4 linked regions of the Coturnix japonica genome follow. The protein of the gene in region 1 interacts with the protein of each later gene in a pairwise test. Links are inferred from orthologs where the notes say so. Each region holds a gene or a part of one and is shown in the gene's direction. Other genes may lie near its edges.

Region 1 (3,592 bases):
AACCTGCTCCACCAGCATCCCCTGTTCAGCCTGTGCCCTGCTGGGATGCACATCCCAGGTCCTGGCTCTGCAGCAGGATGGTGACCTGGGGCAATGGGACAAGGAGCATTTCCACTGCAGGACGGGAATGGAGCAGGTGCAGTCGGGGCCACTGAGCTCTGCAGAGCTCTGAGCCTGGCCAACACTTGGCACAGAGTTTGGGTGTAGTGCTGGGAGTTGAGAACTTCCCTCGTTTCCTTCCACTCACATGATGCCGTGGAGCAGCTCTGACTTCCCTGTCCTGAACCTAAATGCCTTCATGGTGCCTAGCAGTGGTATGGGGCACAGCTGTGCGAGGCTGAACACTGACCGTGGACTGTGCCCAATCCCTGCAGGGCAGAGCTGGGGTTTGGAGCATCCAGCATGGAGTAAGCAGTCCCCAAACAGTGGGGGGACCCTATGAGTGCCACACTGTCACACTGCCAGCAAAGCAAGAGCAGGGTCAGAGAGCAGCGAGGGGCAGCCCACTGCCGTACCCTCCCCTCCTCCTTTCCTTCTCACTTCCTTTTCTTGCACCAATGTCTGCCTGCATTACCCCAGCCTGCACAGGGCTCTTCCCAGCATGGCACAGCCCTTCCCCGGATGCTCCCACGCAGGGTCCATGCTCACCATGGTGGTAACATGGTGCCACTCCATTTGCCTGTTGCAGGCTCCAGCCGTGCGGCTGCAGGAACGCTAACCGGGCTGCTCGGGTCACCCGCAGCCTGGGAGCAGCAGCGAGCAGCAGAAGAACCCCTGGAGCACGACCCACCCACGGCCACCGTGTATGAGGCTGGGACGCAGGTGAGATGGAAACAGGGCTGGGAGCAATGGGGGACAGGGAGGGGAGTGCAAATAAAGCACAGCAAACCACAGTGAGAGGGTCCCTTGGTCACCTCTGTGAGGTCTGGAGAGGAGGACGCATGGGGACAGTGTGTCACCTAGAGCAGAGGGAAGACCTCAGCCCCTTGGATGCCCCTTGGACCCTAATGCTGCTTCTTGAGGTGGGGGGAGCCAGGTTGGTTGCCTATCCTCTGCTCACCCACTGCTCTCCATTCCCTCCTGCCTTGCAGTACGCAGGACCCGCGTCCGCAGAGCCACCCCTTCCGATGTCCCGGCATGAGACTTCTCCGACAACGGTGCAACCCGCCAGCAACCACCGCCCCAACGCCTGCTGCTTCTGCTGGTGCTGCTGCTGCAGTTGCTCATGGTAAGCACGTGTTACACGAGCAGCACTTTGGTCCCACGTGGCTGGTGCAGCACCGAGGTGTGGGTGCAGCTGGAGCTGCATGATGGGGTCCCTTTGGGCACAGCACCATGGGCAGCAGTGCAGGAGCACAGCTGGGATGGAGCCGTCCCCACTCACCTTATCTCAGGGGTGCCCATATATCAGGTTTTGGAGAGTTAACCTGCTCTCAGCATCAACACATTGTGAGATTGCTGACAGCTTTGTGCACCGCTGCAGTGTTGGGTTCTGCAGCTACTGACGGCATTGAACCCAGAGGATCATCCAGACCTGGAGCTGAACAAACCCAGGGACCAAGCGCAGCACTGATGCATCATCACTGTGCAAGGCCCTGCTCTTGGAGCCCCATTCTCCTGATCCAGCTTTGTTTCCTCAAATGAATCATAGAATGTAACAATGCAACAAGGACTGAGAGCAGCACAACACCCACCCGTGTCCCACCTGGTCATCTGCAGGACTTTGGGAGCAGAAGCAATCGAGGATGGTGCAATGCAATCCCAGATTCGGATGCATCATGCACTGAGCCCTGTGCCCAGCCCAGCTGCTGCTCTGAGGGCTAAACCCAGGATTGCAGCCAGGGCCAGTGTTGCAAGCAGGAAGCTCTGCGGTCGGAGCCCAGCTCCGAAATTGGTGGGCCTGGGGGAAGTTGGCTGGAGGCCGCTTTCCTATTGCAGCACAAGGCTGAGGATGGGGGGAACAGGAGACATCGGTGCTGCAGTTGTTGCCTGCAGGCGGTGCTGGTGCTGTGCGTCGTGGCTGCACCAAGTGCAGGATCCGGCACTTTTGTCTTCCTAATTCTGTCCCTGCCGTCTGCTTCCTGCGTGGGCTGAGCCCTGCTGGCAGCTGGAGGAGGTGATAGCACAGCACGGTGCCCTGCAGCAATGTATTGGTGCTGGGTGGCACGGTGCATGTTGGCACAGCAGTGCAGGAAACATCGCTGCGTGGTCAGGGCGGAATTGCACAAAGGAAGGGAAGGAACAGAGGTGTGGGATGTGGGTGCCTACAAAGGGAGTTTGATGGGCAGGAGGTAGCGGGGTCAGGGTGAGGTGGGGCTGCAGCCCCGTGTCCCACCACCCATTACTACCTTTCCATCTCCACGTTAGGAACGAGGACCGGGAGCGAGCGTGGAGGGCGTCCCGGGAGACCAAACTGGAGACCATCCCAAACTGTGAAGCGTGGTGAGTGCGGGGACACCGGGTGCATGGCACGGCATCTCATGGCACGGCATCTCATGGCACGGCATCTCATGGCGCAGCATCTCATGGCATGGCACAGGGAGCCGTTCACAGCCTCTCTGCTTGGAGGGATATGTGGGGGCTCTGAGCATCCACTGCCTTGGAAATGAGCACACAGCTCAGCCATGGGTGCTCTGCTAGTGCCAGGGATCAGATGCATTCATTAGCCAGTGGTAATGATGGCTCCTGCCTTGCTTTAGTGATTAGGATTTTGCTCCCCCAACAGTCAGCGCTGGTGCATGGTCAGCACAGGAAGGGGTTTGTGCCCTCCTGGGTATGTGCAGAGCCAGCAGCATAATTCCCCTTTGGTGGAATTCACTTTTAACCTGTGGCCTGGCTGAGCAGAGCCGGGACAAACCCCATGGGCACTTATGGAGATCTCCAGGAGCTCCATAATGAACAGAGCCTGAGCAAGAGCACGAGCACAGGGGATGTTTGGGAGCATTCCCCCTGGGATGGCTCAGAGCTGGGATCATCCCTGTGCACTCCTTGTTCTGGGGGATGGATACAGTGAAATAAACCTGGCCCCATCCCATCCCATATCCAGCACTGTACTCCAGCTGTAACACCTTCCCTTTGCTTCCCACCCCGCTGACCCCACAGCTCCAAACCCACCACGGAGGAGGTTCGGGGCTGGGCTCAGTCCTTTGACAAGCTGATGAAGAGCCCGGCGGGTCGCAACGTCTTCCGGGAGTTCTTGAGGACTGAATACAGTGAGGAGAACATGCTCTTCTGGTTGGCGTGCGAGGAGCTCAAAACCGAATGCAACAAACACACCATCGATGAGAAGGCCAGGACCATCTATGAGGACTACATCTCCATCCTCTCACCCAAGGAAGTACGTGGCACAAATGATCCGGGAAGGTTTTGGTCCATTTCTGTGGTTTAAGTGGAGGTTTGGGGGTGGGTTCTTAGGGAAACGACACCCAGGTGCACAGTGTTGGGGGTACCGGAGGGATGGTCACGGTGCTATGTCCCTAAATCCAACGGGATGGCATCGGAAGGATGTTGGTACCCAGCTACATCCCCATCCTGTCTGTCCCCGAAGTTCCTCGCGTTCCGGGGTTGTGCTGCGGGGCCGAAACCTCACGAG
Region 2 (2,330 bases), on another chromosome or scaffold:
GAAATGAGTGTGCTGAGAAAATAGGTTTTAAGCGCCTAAACTGAGTATCTAGAATTACTGGGTCTCTTCTATACTAATTTCTCATTGTGTATTTTATACATTGTTGTTAGCAGTACCTCTTAATCTGACAACATGCTGGGAAAACAAATGTAGCCAATGAAATACTCAGATACAATAATTATAAGCTTGAGAAGAAACTAGTAATTCTGTCCCTTCAGCAGCTCATAAATAGTAATTTTATAGTGAAGTATAGATGTATAGACTGAGTAGTGACAGTAAAGGAAAATATTGACTAGCATATGTAGAAAAAAGTGCATTCATTCAAACACGTGAGTTACATGAATAATGCTACATTGGAAATGATGATTTCAGCATTTGACATTTGAGCGTTTAATTTTACAACCTTTATATTTTCTAGTTTACATCCTTGCTTTATATTCTCTTGCAAGTTCTTTTGAGTTCTATAGTAACTTCCTTTTCTCCTTGAAATTGTAATTATTTTTAGAAATGCATAAAATGTAGATGATATATCATAATTTTATCTCATTCTCTCTTTATGGCATATTGTATAGTTCTGTGTATTTATGTTTTGTGGTGGTCACTAATTCCTGGGAAGTTATTTCATATTTTGTGATTTTAAAAAGTGTTATTTTTCGTGCTAAACTGGACAGGAAAATACATTGTTGAACAGCCAGTATAAAGTGGACTTCTAACATGATCTATGATTGTAAACCTACAGCTCTGTTTTGAGGAGTTATTATAATAGATTTTCTATGTAAAATAGTGTATGGGGGGGTCATTCTTTAGGTTTTCTGTCAAATATGAGTTATTAAATATACTTGCTTTTTGTATTTTTTTTTTCCAGAGACTGTCATTATGATAAAGTTCTTTGCTATAAATAATATTTAAAGTTTTGTTTTTCTTACCAGTATGTTATGTAGCATACTACTTCCATAATTCTAACTATTCCTGGAGAAAGTAGTGTGATTCTCTTATATAGGCGAGGCATTATTTCACTTCATTTAAGGCAAACAGTTGCTTTGGTGACAGACCTTAGGGCTACTCTAAGGTGAAGTGAGCCTGACAAAATGAAGCAGTCGAGAATGGGTATTCAGAGAGGCCACAACTACATTCTTTGGCTATTTCCCTTTCATCCTACATCATCAACAGAATAGTGACAGCTAAGTGTAGCTCTTTCTAGCAGAAAAATAACCCTTGTACTTAAATTCTTCCCTTTGGGATAAAAAGTTTGAGATCTGCATAAAACTGAATACAAAAAATTGTCTTCTCATTTATGGTTTGAATGATAAATATGTTCTTATGATTCACAGAATTAAAGATTGGCCAGATGTGATCTCTGAAGATCATTTATTATCCCATCCCAGCTGAAGCTGGACTATTGCCAACAGTAAATCAGGCCAGATCAACTCTATCAAGTTGAGGGGAGAAAACAAGTACAGATGGGGGTTTCACAAAACATTGAGTCTTCTAGTTATTTTTTTCCTCTAAATTCTAATCTAAATCTTCCAAGCTGCAATTAGTGTTCACTGCTACATGATACTTCATGTGATACTGATGATAAGAATTTATCTTCATCATCTTTGTAACTATGCTTCAAATAATTGAAGGGTTTTATTAGATCAACCCTTAGTCTCTTCTTAACCAGTCTAAATAAGACAAATTCCCTTATCTTCTCTTTGTAGTTCAGTGCAGTGTTTAGTTACTTGCTGCTTAAGCTCAGAGGGCTAAGATACTAAACTTAAATGTCTCACATGATCACGTCCAGTGGATTCAGCTGTATTTTGCCCTCATAATAGTAAATTTTTTAAAAAAATATTAAAAATAATAAGTGCCAGACTGTAGAAAAGTGTATCAAAATGAGTGAATTAAGGTTCCTAAAGTTTCTTGCTCAGGTAAGATGAACAGTCACCAAATAGAATAAATGTTCCTTCTACAAGCACATTTTGCTCATTAATTGAAATAATAATAATATATTGTGTGCTATCACTGAAATGCTATTTACCCCGTTGTTTTCTCACTTACAGAGTCGAATGGCAGAAAGTTTGCGCCTCTTTGATTCCATCTGCAACAACAACTGGTTTATCAACACTTCCCTCATCCTTTTTTTGAATAAGAAAGATCTGCTGGCAGAAAAAATCCGACGCATCCCCTTAACAGTCTGCTTTCCTGAATACAAAGGCCAAAACACGTATGAGGAGGCAGCAGTCTACATCCAGCGCCAGTTTGAGGACTTAAATCGCAACAAGGAGACCAAGGAGATCTACTCGCACTTCACCTGCGCCACTGATACCAAGAACGTCCAGTTTGTC
Region 3 (3,592 bases), on another chromosome or scaffold:
GATCCCTCTTCCTCTAGTAAACTCTGCTTTTTTGTTTCGTTGTTTTAGATAACTTTGCCTCCAGTTTCATAGTAAAATTGATGTTTTAGACATGCAATTGTATCCTGAGAATTGCTAAGTTTTGATTACACTTAAATGTTGATATCTTCTCTATTTACTGTGCAAAAAGCACAAATAAGATTTGTATTGTTTTTAGAATCACTGGGCTTCTTGGCGTGCATCACAACAATTTTGGAAATGAGACCTTACTGTTGTAAACATATGTGCAATTATAAATTCTCAGTAGAAAATCACTGATCGTGTATTTAGCATTATACTAAAACATATATTAATTCTGACTAAGATACTGAGTTGTTCTCTTCACAACTGTTTTCAGAGTAACTTGGGTTTTAGTTGTAGTAAAAGTACATTAACTTCCTGCAGAGCTATACAAGGGTGAAGGTGTTAATACAAAGAACACTGGTAAATGTAGAACCGTGTCTGCTTTCTGGGATTTCAGAATAGTAGTGCTTTGTAGTAGAATCAATCATGATTTTTCTTCTAGAACAAAGGTGTCTTTAAAACTTCATTTTTAAAAAAGAAGTGGGAAAATAAGAGGAAAATAACGTTTTATCTCAGAGAACATTGTTCATATAAGAGTCATGTACAGTGTAATGAATAGAACTAGAACTTGTGTAATTTTTCACAATTATTTGATTACTATTTTATGAATAACTGAATGCAGTATTTATTTTTACCTCCAGTTACTTGAATGACTTGGACAGGATAGCACAAACAAGCTACATTCCAACTCAACAGGATGTTCTCAGGACTAGAGTGAAAACTACAGGAATAGTGGAAACTCACTTTACTTTCAAAGATCTTCATTTTAAGTATGTAAATTATTCTGCGTATTCATCTGTCTGTTAGTAGCTTTTGTAAAGTTCTCGTGGATGGACTTTTAGTGATGCAATTTAACAAATTTGTCTAACCATAACTAATTATTTTATTATTTTTCTTTCCACTGGAAAATTCCTGCTTGTCTCAGTTTTCTGAAGGTATCTGGGAGTTGTTTGAATTTCTATAGTAAATCAATATAAATATGGCAATATTAAGTAATAAATGCTTTTGTTTTTATTTGAAGCTTTTTGGAAAGTTTATTTTCAGTGTAAATCAAATCTTGAAATATTCACTTTTATACTGTGTTAACATATAGTTGTTTGATCAGATTTTTCCCTTTAAATTCAGTTGGAGAGCTGTAAATATTTGTTGCTCTGGTTATGAAACAGCAAATCCTTTTTCCTGGAGAATTGAACTTAAAGCTATACTTTAGGTTTTTGTAAGGTAATACTTTATTTACTGATGAAAGACTGTTAGTAAAGTTTCTTTTGACACAGTTTGTACCAAACACTACTAGCCTTGTAACCATCTTCTGTTTAAAGACATTCATTATGAAAGTGTAGGATAGTGTAAGTGTAACACTACTTTGGCTTTTCCTTTCTAGGAAAATGAGAAGGAAGCTCAGTACAACTCTCATTGCATGTATGTTTTAGAGTGTGTGGAGATAGTTGTCAGCACATCTATACACATTCTGGTTTCTAAAAATAACCAATTGAATCTCATCAACTGCAATTTATCTTAGTCATGTGGTACACCAAATCAGTAGGTTTTCTGTCTACACATGTACATCACCACCCCCTCCTCTTACAGCCTGGGGAAAACATAATCAATGATAAAAGTCAGTTAATTAATTATGAGACTTTCCAGAGCCTCCTATCTTTTGTGACAGGTGAGAGAGGTTACAAAAAATATTTGTCAAATAAGCCTTATTCATGTCTGGGGCTTGGGGAGTAGGGAAGCAATCAACTTGTATAACCTTAAAAGGAAAAAAAAAAAAAACAAAAAACAAAAACAAAAAACATAACAAGAGCAACAAGAAAAAACAAGCTAACAGTGAAAGAAATCATAAGAATCACATGTTCATAACATATCACATGTTCTATGGGTGCTGGAGCTGTGTTCTCAGCTTAAATAATAGAAAGGAGCAAAGCATCTCAAACTTGGCAACACTAGCTTTAAAAAAATCATTAATTGTTAATGAAATACCTTGCACAGATCTATAAATTTGCACACTTGCTGATAAACCATTCAGAAACCAATCCATAGAGCTAAGCAACAAAGATTAGCATAGAGATGACTTGAAGGACAGGACCATCTGTGGTGCTTTAGACTTGGTTCAGTGAAATAATTTCTCTTAATATATTGACATTCACCATGCAATCTCACCAGGGAAGTCTGTATTATTTAAATACATTAAATGGAAGTTCCTTGAAGCATTTATTTAATGGCATCATCCTTTAGATAGGGCAGGTAGATTCAGCTCTTACAAACTTTAATTCTTTCAGTATTGCCTTGTCTTTCTTTGTAGTCTACTGTAGACGGTAATGTATTCTGCAGAAGCAAAACTTTTATAGTATTAATATAGTATTCATAGTATAGTGCCAAACTGCACTATGATTGGAATATTAAGGCATACTCCCAGATTGTGAGGAGGAATCTGTAAAGCATCCAAGCTTCTCATTCTTTCAAAGCTCTTTTATTTATCTGAATATCAGGCAGCTTCTGTCAGTGTCTTAGTGTTCTGAGACTGTGACCTAACAGATCTCTGTGTACACAATTAAGGCTTTCATGGTAGATGCTAACTAAAGTGGATGGAGAAGTTCTATCCTTTGTTCTTCCGTCATCTCCTTCCCGTGTAAATATTTTTATACTTACTGAATTCTAAACTTTTTCATGATGATGCCTTAAAAAGTTAAAATTGCTTGGAAATATCACTGAAGACATAAGTCAGGCCTGTCTTAAAAGGAATAATTGCATTTCCTTGTAACAAGGAGGAAAAATCCAATATTTGCGTGGTAAAATATTGGCTACCATAGCTAAGGAGGCATATGGTGACCTTTTCACATTGTTTTTAAGCTGAAAGTAATCACAGGAATCTGAGACAAGACTCTTCTTTGCATGGTAGAAAGGAGACAGATGGAAAAGGGCTGTGTTCTGTTTTGTTGAGAAAATTCAGCCATTTGCATCCATTTTAGGGTAGTACTATTGTCCGCTTATTAGATTGCATTTTGTTTCTGTTGTTGTTGCTTGGTTGTTTAATTCTTTTTTTCATTACTTAGTTCATTAAATCCAGGATACTGTTTTTCTGGCTTGCAGAATACTTGAGGTTCAGTTAATAAAGATGTCTAATAAAACATTCAGTCTTCCAGATTCACTGTAGCTCAGATGTTAAAAAATAGTCCTCAAAGCACTTAGATAGCAGAGAAAAGCAAATTTATGTAAACTATGCTAACTTGCTGTTCCTCTGCTGTTAAGTGCTTGTATGTGGTCTTTTCATATCACGCTGTTTCTGATTAGCAGGGAATTGGAAAGAAACATCTTTATAGTTTAGTTGTGCCACTTAACTGCATTTCCAAAAAGTTTTTTATTAGAGGGGAAATTACTAGTCTGTCTTATTATATGATGCCTGCTTTGTCTTTTAAGAAGAGAATGTTGAAAATAATTTTCAGTGTCACTTAAGAAGTACACTTAATATAGAATAGCATTTTTTCAA
Region 4 (4,061 bases), on another chromosome or scaffold:
AGCCATCTCAAGAGGACACCGCCTCTGGATTTCTGGATTGTGGTTTTCCTATTCTGCACTTTTCATAATGCCCTCTGGCTGGTACCATTGAAATGAAACCTACTGATTGAAATTCTGATCCTATTGATTTTACACAGGAGATCTGCTCAAGTATGAAAGAGCAGGAATTGCTCCGCAGCCACCCCCACCCCCACCCGCTCCCTGCTGAATACAGGCAGTAGGTTTGCTTTCCCATGCAGGTATACCCTTTTCCCCTGGGCTCCCAGAAATAAATTACCCCAAATTCAGATATTCAGTACCTATTAGCTCACAAATGTTCGGTAAATACCGCTGGCCCTTGAGTACGCTAACATTATTTATGAGCTCCCTTTTACTTCCCTTTGTCTGCTCTGCCTCACATCTCTGCTATACACTGTTAACCACATGCCACGCTTCTCCCCTTTGTTTCAGAGGTGTAGAAGGAAAATGGAAACGGTGCTTTATGGGAAGGAGGTCATATAATGTCAGCCTGTGCCCAGCCCCACCTGGGCCGGGTGTTTCATTATGGATAGTCACAGCGGGCAGCGGCCCCACAGCATCCTTCTGGTTCTGTTTGCAGGGAGGTGGAGAGGGCTGTGGCAGCAGCTCTGTTCCTTCAGTGAGCTCCTCGGCCTGGCTGCTCGTGGCAGAGGGCAGCCTGCTCCCAGAATACAGGCCTTGGTTTCATAGAATCAATCAGAGCTCTCCCTTCCCTGGGTCCAACCCCAGCTCACCCCACCAGGACCACATGGCACGGCTCTGACAGCTCCATGGATGGTGACTCCCCCCTTCCCTGCGCAGCTGTGCCACCGCCTCACTCTTAAAGAAGGAATAGTTCCCAGTCCCCAACCTGACCATCCGCGGTGCAGCTCGAGGTCACTACCTCTCACCCCGCCGCTGTTATCTGGAGCAGAGGCCGAGCCCCCCCCCAACCTGCTGTCAGGGGTCGCAGAGCCATGAGCTCCATGCCGAGCTCCATGCCGAGCTCCATGCCGAGCTCCATGCCGAGCTCCTCTCCATCTGACCCAGCCCGTTCCCTCATGCGCTGTGCTGGGAGCATGCGCGGTACTCGCGCGTCACGGCAGCGGGCGAGGCCTGCGGAGCGCGTCCCCCTCCCCCGGCACATCCCGCACATCCCGCACCGCCGCCGCATCCCCGCGCCCCGCCAGGCGCGCAGCCCGGAGCGGCCCCGCCCCGTTCGTCACGTTCCTCCTCCCCCTTCGCTCCTCCTCCTCCTTCAGCTCCGCCCCGCCCCGCCCGCGGCCGCCCGCGCTGCCCGCAGCCCGTGGATGCGCTGAGCGCTCGGGCACGGAGCCGCCGGCCCCGCCGCTGCGGAGCCCGCAGGCCTTTGTTAATCCCCGCGGCTGTCGGCGTTGCGCTGCCCGCAGCTCGGTGCGCCCGGCGGCGGCGGGGGCTGCGCTTTTTTTTTTATCCCCTCCCTTTTTTTTTTTCTTTTTCTTTTCTTTTTTTTTCTTTTTAATTCCATTCAATCCGTTCTCGCCATGGGATGTACCCTGAGCGCCGAGGAGCGGGCCGCCCTGGAGCGCAGCAAGGCCATCGAGAAGAACCTGAAGGAGGACGGCATCAGCGCGGCCAAAGACGTGAAGCTGCTGCTGCTCGGTGAGCCCCGCTCCGCTCCGCGCCCCGCGCCGCCGCGCCCCGCGCTCACCGCTTGTCTCTCTCTGTCCCGCAGGGGCCGGAGAGTCGGGGAAGAGCACCATCGTGAAGCAGATGAAGTGAGTGCCGCGGGGCGCGGGGCGGCGCGGAGGGCCGCGGGCGCCATGTTGTACCCGAGGGCAGCGCCGGGCGGGAGGCGGCGGCCGCTGCTGTTCGGGGCCCCGTGGTGCTGAACGCCGGGATGAGGGCGGCGGGGCGGGCGGTGGGCGGCTGCGGCCGGGACCGGCGCTCGGGAGGAGGAGGAGGAGGGAGGGGGAAAAAAGCACGAAATCCGCCCGTAATGCGGATTTAAAGCGAGGCTCGCTGCCACCCAAAGCCCCTTTTACCCGAGATTTGAGCCTTTTAATTAATGAGAGGCGAACTTGGCCGCCGGTCGCCAATTATGTTGAAAACGGGTTATTAAAAAGGGGAAAGGAAAAACACGCGACCCAACGCGCCCTGAAAAATCAGCCCTGCCTTCATGCAGCACCTCCCTGACAGCTGTGCCGGGCCCCAATGGGAGTGGGCTGACATGGCTGCCCCACACCGTGCCCCCAGCACACAGTGATCCCAGCACGTGGCCAGGCGGTGCTTCCAGGGGGAGAGCCAGCGGGGCTGTGGGAGAGCATAATGAGGGGTGGGAGAGCCTGTAGAGGTGTGGGAGAGCCAACAGAGGTGTGGGAGAGTCAACAGAGATGTAGGAGAGTCAACAGAGATGTAGGAGAGCCTACAGAGATTTGGGAGAGCCTTGTAGAGATGTGGGAGAGCCAACAGAGGTGTGGGAGGGCCTTTAGAGATCTGGGAGAGCATATAGAGATGTGGGAGAGTCAGTGGTGGTGTGAGAGAGACAACAGAAGTATGGAAGAGCCATTGGAGATGTGAGAGAACCTATAGAGATGTAGGACATCATATAGAGGTGTGGGAGAGTGTACAGAAGAGTGGGAGAGTCAACGGGGGTGTGGGGAGCTCAATGGAGGCATGGGGATCCAACGGAGGCATGAGAGAGCCAGCAGAGGCACAGGGAGCTAATGGAGGTGCGGGGAAGCCAGTGAAGGTGCAGGGAACCAACGGAGGTGTGGAGGTGCAGAATTACTCCATTCCCTTTTCTTCCCTTTAATTAAAGCCCATCCAGCCGCAGCCTCCCACTGGAACGAGCAGGCGCCATAGCTGTGCATTGGGGCTGGGTGTCACGGTGGTAGAGGCACGGAGCGGTTCTTGTTTCCCGATAGGGAAGGAGCCGGTGTCTGGGAGGGGCCGTGGGGCGGGCGGTGTGCCCGATGTGCCCGGTGTGCCCGGTGTGCCCGGTGTGCCCGGTGTGCCCGTAGCCATCCGCAGTCCCTCCGCGCTGTCCCTCGGGCGCGGCGTGGCGCGGCTTTCAGGCGGTTCTCGTGGTGGACAGCGCCCAGCGGGGACTCGAACCGCGGGGAGCGCAGCGCTCGTCTCCTCCCTCGGCGCTCGGCTGCCTTCGGAGAGCGCTCGGGGGCGGTCGGGGGGGAGCCGAGCAGGCTCGGAAATAGCCGAAGGGGCTCGGGCGCCGCTCGCCAACCCTCGGGCGTGGGCTCGCCGCGGGCCCGCAGCCCGGCGCGGTGCCGTGATTGTACGGGGAACAGCACATCTCCTGTAGCGGGGGGGTCCCAGAGGACCGAACCACCGTCCCCGCCCGAGGCAGCGTTCTTCCCATAGAGCTGCAGGGCTGTGGGAGCGAGCAGCCTCGCCCTCGGTGCCGTTCCATCCGCCTCTCCCGCTGCTATCGGTGTGCAAAGGCTCCGAGGCCCCGTCAAAGGGCATTTGGGGATGTGGGGCCGGGAGGATCGGTTTGGTTTGCACTTGTTTGTATGTGAAAGGTGGATCGGGAGAGGAACTGCTGCAGATGAACACCACTAAATTATTTAATCTCTAGGAATGGCTTCTGCAGGAGCGTGCTGGAATGGCGGGCGATGCTTTGGTGGAAGGAGAGGCTGTGGCTGCCACTGGAACAGCGACAGCGCTGTGGGTGAAGGGGCAGCTGTGGCCATGGTGCCTTACACAACCACGCACGGGCTCCTGTGCCGCGGGGACCAGAGCTCTTGTTGTTTAAACGAACTGGTTCCAGATAAAAGCCGGCTGGCTGGGCTATATTAGTAGAGTGAGGGCTGAAAAACACCCTGTTGTAGGTCTATATGTTGAAGGGAGCAGCCCTAATGTGGCACACGGCAGCCTGCAGCCTTGTGCCTGAGGATGCGGAGCTGGCTGCCATGCTGGGAGCTCCGGGCGAGCAGTGGGGCTGGGTGGGGACGCGGCAGCAGCCGGGGGGAGCCGGCACCGCAGGGGAAACCAATGCTTCTGAAAATGAATTTAAATATAATGCAGGCATTAGCATTTCACCTGGTCAAGCTCCATTACACGGG

The links.
Region 2: the proteins of regulator of G-protein signaling 19-like (region 1) and GNAZ interact in a two-hybrid assay, tested with the Homo sapiens proteins (2 studies listed by BioGRID). The link is inferred for Coturnix japonica from reciprocal best matches to the Homo sapiens genes RGS19 and GNAZ.
Region 3: the proteins of regulator of G-protein signaling 19-like (region 1) and guanine nucleotide-binding protein G(i) subunit alpha-1 interact in a two-hybrid assay, tested with the Homo sapiens proteins (2 studies listed by BioGRID). The link is inferred for Coturnix japonica from reciprocal best matches to the Homo sapiens genes RGS19 and GNAI1.
Region 4: the proteins of regulator of G-protein signaling 19-like (region 1) and GNAO1 interact in a two-hybrid assay, tested with the Homo sapiens proteins (2 studies listed by BioGRID). The link is inferred for Coturnix japonica from reciprocal best matches to the Homo sapiens genes RGS19 and GNAO1.

What each region holds. Positions count from the first base shown.
Region 1 is NC_029535.1:8,395,395-8,398,986, forward strand, and holds part of regulator of G-protein signaling 19-like, read left to right. Parts: intron 1-688; 5' UTR 689-822; intron 823-1,091; 5' UTR 1,092-1,127; coding exon 1,128-1,228; intron 1,229-2,367; coding exon 2,368-2,442; intron 2,443-3,102; coding exon 3,103-3,337; intron 3,338-3,592. UniProt on the Homo sapiens protein: Inhibits signal transduction by increasing the GTPase activity of G protein alpha subunits thereby driving them into their inactive GDP-bound form. Binds to G-alpha subfamily 1 members, with the order G(i)a3 > G(i)a1 > G(o)a >> G(z)a/G(i)a2.
Region 2 is NC_029530.1:7,698,353-7,700,682, reverse strand, and holds part of GNAZ (guanine nucleotide-binding protein G(z) subunit alpha), read left to right. Parts: intron 1-2,045; coding exon 2,046-2,330. UniProt on the Homo sapiens protein: Guanine nucleotide-binding proteins (G proteins) are involved as modulators or transducers in various transmembrane signaling systems.
Region 3 is NC_029516.1:10,215,937-10,219,528, reverse strand, and holds part of guanine nucleotide-binding protein G(i) subunit alpha-1, read left to right. Parts: intron 1-743; coding exon 744-872; intron 873-3,592. UniProt on the Homo sapiens protein: Guanine nucleotide-binding proteins (G proteins) function as transducers downstream of G protein-coupled receptors (GPCRs) in numerous signaling cascades.
Region 4 is NC_029526.1:480,271-484,331, reverse strand, and holds the start of GNAO1 (guanine nucleotide-binding protein G(o) subunit alpha), read left to right. Parts: upstream 1-1,261; 5' UTR 1,262-1,520; coding exon 1,521-1,638; intron 1,639-1,711; coding exon 1,712-1,754; intron 1,755-4,061. UniProt on the Homo sapiens protein: Guanine nucleotide-binding proteins (G proteins) function as transducers downstream of G protein-coupled receptors (GPCRs) in numerous signaling cascades.